2 linked regions of the Coturnix japonica genome follow. The protein of the gene in region 2 interacts with the protein of the main gene of each other region in a biochemical or structural test. Links are inferred from orthologs where the notes say so. Each region holds a gene or a part of one and is shown on either strand. Other genes may lie near its edges.

Region 1 (4,244 bases), on a different chromosome or scaffold from region 2:
GTAGTCTGGACTGCTTCTCCACTGTTGACCCTGGGCACCCTGCTCTGGGTGTCCCTGCATGGGCCAGAGGGCCCTGCCAGCCTCAGCTGCCCTGTGCTTCTGCCTCATGCTCACAAACAGCTCTTACAGTGTCAGACCTAACTATTACCTTCTGCTTTGTTCCAGCCCACTTCGGTGTGTTTGTGCTCCAGTAATGACTCTGACTCCTACGTTGCACTTGCGGAGATGGGAGGTTGGTTGCAGTCAGTGGGCTCTGTCACTGTGCTGCCCACAGTGCTCAGTTATGTTTCCCTCAGTGCCTCACGTTCTTCCCATAATAAAGTCACCTAAAAACATTTAACTCCACCATAGTCACCATGAAATATTTAACGCAGTAGCAGTCCTAGGCAGGAGCAACAGGACTTGCTCTTGGCCATCTCATGACACTGACAGCAGAGCATTCCTGTTTTCTCTCCCCTAGGACAAAAGCTCCATCTTGCCTTGCTGCTTGCTGGTAGCCTCAAATGGGGCACCCTTTCCTCACCCAGGTGTGGTGACTAAACTGCACTGATGCAGCCTACGTGTACATCTACTTCTGTGGACACAATGTCTGGACGTGTCACAGGACTCACTCCAAGTAGCACAAGATGGTGTGTGTTGCTATGAGCAGGTGGAAAACTGTTTATCTTGTGACGATTTTTGCATTAAAATGTGAATCTCACCCTGCAGCTCACTGCTTTGCTTGAGCTCAGGGCTTGTTACTGTTCTACCACAGGAAAACTCAGTTTTAATTTCCTCTTAGTTAATTCTGGGGAAATTTGTGGATATCAAGAAGCCCAAATAATGTCTCATACGTGCTGTCTTCTGTGGATATGCTATTTTTCCTCATAAAGATTCCATATTTAGGCAATGAGTTTAACATGTTTCCCATCTGATCCTGCCTTTTAAGACTGGCCAGAGAAATCCCATCCTGACCCTACAGCTGTGTACTATCATCCTTCCCTCTGCTTGGTGCCAAAACCAGAGGCAGATGACACTGAAATGAAAAACTTGCTTCATTTTGTTCTTCCTCTGGTAAGCCTCAATGTATGTAGGTTTTCAGGAAGAAATTTAGGCAGTCAAAGACTGTAGGACTGCTCTGTTTCCCAGTCTGCATATCAGTCCTTCAGACCTCACATCGCAGAGAGGAACTTGCTGAATAGCTTTGTTCATTACATTGGAGGGTATAAGATGTACTATTTGGATCCTTTGAAATGCTTATGAGCCAGAAAAATAAGTGTGGGGGTTACTGCTTTGATTGTCACCCTGCCCTTTGCCCAGCCTCGATTCTTTCCTCACACTGGTTCTTCTGCCCCAAATATCCTTTGTTTCATCAATGCTTGTCCTGTTGAAGGTGTAAGTATTTTGCGTGTCTTTCTTTCTTTCCTGATAGAAACCCTAGTTCAATGACCCTCCTCCTGGCTTTGGCTGTTTAGCTGAGCTGTGCAAAAGGATTCCTGGATCATTGCCTGGAGGGTCTCATCAGAAGGATTTGTACATGGGTCTGCTCTGGAGATTGTCATGCCACATTGCATTCTCCATCCTGAATTTAGCCCAGCAAACCTGAGGGTACCCCAAGGCTGGGCAGTGCCTTTCACCTGTTAGTAGGCAGGGCAGGTGAGACCTTGGGCACCCACCTGCTGTGTTCTGTGCTCACTGCTGCTGGCTGCCCTCCAGCTTTTCTCATCTTGTTCTCTTTTTCCTTGGGCTGCCAAAGCTCTCAGCTACCCTAATTTCAGTCTGTATTGCTTTCCTCTTCCTTACTCTCATTTTCTTCACAGCTACGTTCAGAAAGGTAGGATACCCTTCGTAAGGGCAGCTTTACGGCTGACTGCACTATTATTTGAGATGTTTTTGGGAAATCCTGGATATACAAGTAGCAGTGTGGTGAAGGATCCCATCCTCTGCAAATCCCCTAAAGGAGAGATGTGTGCTCAGTGTCTCCCACTGCCTTTCTGGAGTGCTCTCATCGTTAAGCCCATGGACTTGCGTGGGAGATGCTAATCAGAGCAGTTCTGTGATGACTTGTGTAGTGTGCCCATCCAGCCATGGAGAGAAGGGGCACACACCAAGCTCACGCTGCACAGCTATCGGACTAGCAACTTTCACTCCCCTCTGACAGACTAGATCCAAATGCAAACCCATAAGTAAGGTTCTAGTTCAGCTGTATTCCACACAGCCTCCCACCCCGTGCTCACTGCTGGCATTACCATTTCTCACACTAAGTCCAGCTCCCCTGCTGAGCTCCTGCATTTGTGATCTAATGGAAATGCACGTTTTGATGTCATATTGCTGAGAAGTGCTTTCTCCCTTTTATTAATTTATCCTCAATATTGGCTAAGTAGCACACAAAAATCTGGTAACTTCAGCAGAACAATTAAATATTAACAATTTCCCCCCCTTTTTCAGTCTCTGTACACACACTTATAACATCTATTTCTCCACAATATAAACATTTGAAACATACGAACAAATTCCACAAGGGAACCTCTCACATCTTACAAGAAGTACACGATTTGGCTGGGAGCATTTTGTTTATAAGCATTACTTCATGTATCCCATATCCTGATTGGCAAGCCAAAATCTTACCTGATGTGTTTTCTATGAACCTCTTCAGAAGAAACCACACAGTAATTGTACAGAGGAAGATATCCTTGAATTGTTCAGAGGCAGCACAGGTATCTTGTGCTGCTCTTCATTTCAGAGCTTCCCTAAATACTGGCAGCACTTTAATAACTAACTTCGGTTAACTTTTACAAGAAAAGTAAGATTTCACTGTGGCCTTGACCATTGAGTCTACTCTCAGGAGGGATGATAAGAGTCATTTCTTAAAGTTCTCTGGGATATTGCTTAACTTTGTTTGGAGAACTGCTTCTGATTGGACTGCAGAGATTAATGTAGGAAAATAGAGATGAGTAAGAAGGACTCTGTTGCAATCCTCTGCTGTGCATCTGCCAGGGTTCTGTTGGGCATAGTGGGAGGTGCCGACCAGAGCCCAGAAGTCAGAGCTGCTTCATTTCTAAAGAACACAACCTGTGGTATGGAAATGGGGCTGCTGGCATGGCAGCTCTGGGCAAGGTGTGCCCTGTGAGCTCTACTCCCAGGTATCTCCAAGACTCTCATCATTGTCTCTCCAGGAACAATTGTGGAATGCTCAGATCATTTTGCAGAATAGTCTTGGCAGGGATTTCCAGAGGTGAGGACAGGGATTTCCAGGGGACAGCTTTGAGAGCTGTGGCAGCTGTGGCATCTTGTGACATGTGTGTGGTACAGGAGGGCTGAGCTGGGCTGCTCTGCAGGATCCTTCTCCCCTTTCACTGCCGACTGAGGAACTGAGGCCGCTGAGGCTGAGCAAGCACTCCTCTGAAATACCTAAAACCTCTTAAGGAGACGGAGGGCTGGAATAACATGCTGATGCCTCAGCATGCAACTCCAGCAGCAGGTACCTGATTTCAGGACATCACCAAACCCTGATGCTGATGCCTGTGCTGATGTGCTGAGCAAACCTTAGCATCAAAGTTTCCCGGTGAAAACAGTCCTCAGGTCATGCCATCACAAACCCTTCAGCCATTGATACCTAGAATACAGAGACAGCCATATAGTGCTCATCTCCTTAAGGCACTCCTCTGGTCTGGAGAACAGAGCCTGTTCTAGCCTTGTAGGCACAGATTTCCTCTCCTGGTGAAGAGAATGGTATGAGCAGGGCACCCCATGTGCTCCCAATGGATGTCCAGGCACACAGGGAGTAGCAGGAGGAGCCTGAGGTGCTGATCTCAGGGGGTTTGTACACATTTCAGTCAATGATTAAACCAAGAAATGATGGAGTGAGCAGAAGCTCAGCACACATCCCTGCAAGATGCAGGCTACATCTGCCTGTGCAATTCGGGCTTCTTCCACATGGCTCTGGGTTTCTGAAGGCTCTTTGAGGCCTCCAGCTTCTTCTGAAATTTGTGCTGCACTTTCAGCCAAGCCCATAAGCTTTTCCAGTTAGTAAAGATCCCAGGTCATTTCCTGGAGAGCAGACTTCCTTCTCTGTGACAGCACGCCCCTGCTCTTAATAGCTGCCATCATGGCTTAAGGTATTTGCTGCACTTTGTAAAGCTGACACAGAGATGATATTTGCCATTAAAACCACAAACATTTGAAAAGATGTAGAACAGCTCAAACCATAAAGTGATTAAACTGCTTTTGGCCTCTCTCCTTGCCAAAGTGCAGGTACAGTGTGG
Region 2 (3,511 bases):
GTGGTGCTGTGTTGGATCTGTGTGACTTTTCTCCTTGACAGTAGTGAGAACTACTGTGCTGCAATAGGGCCTGCGGGACCCAAACTGTAGGGCCTGAGAAGGAGGGAGGGATGTGCAGGACTCTGCCATTGCTTTTCCTGCATGCTTCCCCACATTGCTGCCCACCTGCAACCCCTGTTCCTGCACATCAGCTGTCTGTTCCCAGTTCCCTTCTGGAGGTGTGCCCTGGTACAGGTGCTGCTCTGACAGTGTCAGTGGCATCGCCTGGTGTTGCACAGAAATGGATCTGAGAAGGAGCAGATGGGTTTTCCAGGGTTTGGTGGAGCAGCACCCTGCAGGCAGGTTATGGGTAGGAACCCTCCTGGTGCAGGGTGGTGGGCATTGGTGCTTGCTGGGTTGGTTTGCTCGGCACACACAGCCATGTCTGCAATCTATAAATTTTGTCTTGGTGGTTTTTTATTTTTTTCATTTGCAGATACTGGCTCTGCTGACCTTGAATGGAGCTTGCAGGGGAGTAAATAAACGCTGGCTAATTGCACATTAGGCTCGTTTGTCACTTCTAACCTTGGCAGTTGCAGTATCTGGCTGGCCTGACCTAGATAGGGCAGGAGCTGTAAGGAACCCTGTGCTGCTTCAGGGTTTCCCCAGCACACATAGGGTGTCACAGGGCCATGAGTGCTGGCAGTGTCCCCCTGCAGCTGGGGAGAGTGGTAGAGCTGCATTGCCAGTGGTACTGTCTTCCTCTTTGGAATGAGGGCCTGTGCAGGCAGCAGGTGATGCCCTGTGGGATACCACCCTGAGGCTGCAGGCAGGGGGTTCTGGAGTCTTTTTCTGCCTTCTTCCCTCATATATCCACAGTTATTCCCTATTCCTACCCTGCCCTGCTGTGCTGGACTCATGTGCTTGCTTGACTGCCCTAGAGCTGAGCACAGCTCTCTACTTTCCCACGTGTGAGCTGCCCCGTGCTCCCCTTCCTCCCTGCTGGGCTGACACCGCCAGCTCCTTTCAGAGGATCTGCAGTCACACAAAAAAACGTGAAAAAGTGAGGCTGTGTGAGGACAATGGTCCCTTTCAGCCATGCCTGGAGCTGGAGACCAGCAGGGATGGGCTCATCTCCTGGTGCTGGTTTCCCTTATCTCTGCTGTCCTGTCACGCAGGGGGATGAATGCACGGATCAGATTGTTGCTTTTATAAATCTGCTTGGGAAGGGGGGAGGTGGGAGGGGGGAAAGTGTCCAAATGGGAAGAGTGCAGCAAAGGCAGTTGAGACATTGCATTTGTGCTCTGGTTCTTGGTGCAACCCAGCTTTCCACCTTGAGTTCTCAGCTCTGTCCCTGGGTGTGGGGGGAGAAAGAAGTCTCAGGTAAAGGGGTGAGGGTTTGCAGGGCTGTTTATGTGGTAGAACTGCATGTCCCTTGTGAGGGATGAAGCTAGGCAGCAGGATTCAGGATGTGTGTTGTGTGATGGAACAGCAGGCTTGCAAGTGGAGCAGAGGGGATGATGTCCACCTGTGTGTATGCAGCTGCCATGGGCAGATCCATCATTTAGGTGGTGTTGGAAGGAATTGTCACTGTCACCCATGGCTGCAGGCTGTGCTATCTTGAAGGATCCCAAATCTCTGCCCTCCTCCCCTGTTGCCTATAGAAACAGTAATGAATGTGCACCGTGCAGTGAAATGGAAGCTGCAGGAGAGCACCAATGGGCAGAGGGGTCTGGAGATACAGCTCTCCAAGAACTGGGGAGTCTCTGGGCTTCTGCTCACTACTTCTCCTTCTCCTTTGCAGGTGGTGCAGCGTATCAAGGCAGTGGAGACAGAGACCCGCCTGCTGGTGGTGGACAAGGAGACAGATGAGTACCTGTGCAGCCTGCGCCTGACATGCACAGAGGAGATGGCACACAGTGGGATCCTGCTGGGCTCCAACATCTCACCCTCCAAGTCAGTGGGCAGCGACAACGGGGAGGTGTGGAAACCACAGCTGGAGCTGAGCGCAGGCAGCCTGCAGCGGCACTCACACAGCTTCTCCTCACACGGCAGCAGGAAGGTGAGGGCAGAGCTGGTGGCACAGCGTGGGGTTGGACAGCAGGATGCATCCCATTGCAAATGTGCTTCCCGTTAGCAAACCTTCTGTATGTGGCTCTGGGCGTCTCAGTGTGTCCCAAAGCTGTGGGTGAGCTGCACAAGGCCTTGTTTGCTCTGTTGGAAGCAGTGTTGGCTGCTCCTGGAGGAGCTACAGAGAGCTGAGGTGGGCACCCAGCCCCCTGGGGACAACCAGGCTGCCCTGGCTGATGTCCTTGTCCCTTGTTTGGGGACAGGCAGCACAGGCTGTGGATGTGGTGGAGCTGGACTCCTTAACTCAGTCCATTTCTTCTGTGTTACTTCTAGGATGGAGGGAACAGCTGGGTTGAATGTGTTCTCAGCTTTTGCTGGAATAGGAAGGAAATAAGCTCTTTTTCAAGTGGTCTGAGTCTGGGCTGTGATTTTGCAGTAAGCGCCTTTTATTGGTAAACTCCTTTTCAGCAAGGAAAGAATTTGAGGTGGAAGATGTCCAGTTTCCATGGCTGGCTCTCTGCTGGGAGGGCGGTGATGGCACAGCCTTGCACGCACAGATAGGCAGCACTCAGCCCCGGCACTGTCCATGCATGGGATGTGAACGTGGCAGCCACCACCATGCAGCTGACTGTCCCCACTTTAATCACTGAGGGGGTGAATCCTGCAGCCCCGTGGTGCTGCTTATAACCAGGCTGTGCAAGGCTTTCCCTGCTTCCAAATCCAGCTTTAGCACTCGTTGTCCTCAGGAGCCCTTGTGGGGTAACAGCTCAAGCAATTTCTGCATGGGGATAATGTGTAGGGCAGAAAGCAGAGTTATGCATGGGGTTCTGCCTCTGACCCTCCCCCCCTCATATGGAGTTGCTTGTGTCAGGCAGAGCTGTGCTGGTCCAGGGGGCTGCCCTTTCTGGGGGTGCTGGAGGATGGGCTGTGGTATGAAGGTGTTCAGAGAGCTCTGGGTGGCAATGGAGGTCAGTGTTGTGCTGCTCATAACCTCCCAGGGTGGCTGGTGGGACAGGAGAAAGAAACTGGAGAGAGGGGGGCTGCAGTGCAAACAGCCGTGCATGGCTTCCCAGGCTGGGGGTTTCCTATCCTGTCTCTGTTCCTTTTGCTGGGTGAAATCCAACAGTTTGTGCTGACGGGAAGTTGGGCGCGGAGAACGGGCTGGTCCCTTCCGGCCTTTGGGTTTCGGCTCCTCCAAGGAGAGGGTGGGACAGGGAGAACTGAGAAGGCAGGGGGGTGCAGTGGGAGGGAGTGCTTGAACCCCCCTGCAGAGGGGCTGTGGGGTTGGTGAGGGTAAGTGCATGGAGCAACTGCTGTATTTGAGGCTGGTGGTGCCAGAACCCATGCTGGTATCCAGCCAATGCAGGTCCCAAACAGGACATAGTGACCCATAGGGGCTTTGCCTTGGGGAGAGCTCAGGACAGAGCTGTTCCAGATAGATTCCATCCATGGGAGCCATGAC

The links. The genes of interacting proteins can lie anywhere in the genome.
Region 1: the proteins of SLC9A3R2 (region 2) and SLC26A3 form a complex in vitro, tested with the Homo sapiens proteins (2 studies listed by BioGRID and IntAct, with this or other methods). The link is inferred for Coturnix japonica from reciprocal best matches to the Homo sapiens genes NHERF2 and SLC26A3.

The regions. Positions count from the first base shown.
Region 1 is NC_029516.1:13,315,478-13,319,721, forward strand, and holds the start of SLC26A3 (chloride anion exchanger), read right to left. Parts: upstream 2,806-4,244; 5' UTR 2,608-2,805; intron 1-2,607. UniProt on the Homo sapiens protein: Mediates chloride-bicarbonate exchange with a chloride bicarbonate stoichiometry of 2:1 in the intestinal epithelia. Plays a role in the chloride and bicarbonate homeostasis during sperm epididymal maturation and capacitation.
Region 2 is NC_029529.1:6,192,128-6,195,638, forward strand, and holds part of SLC9A3R2 (Na(+)/H(+) exchange regulatory cofactor NHE-RF2), read left to right. Parts: intron 1-1,783; coding exon 1,784-2,041; intron 2,042-3,511.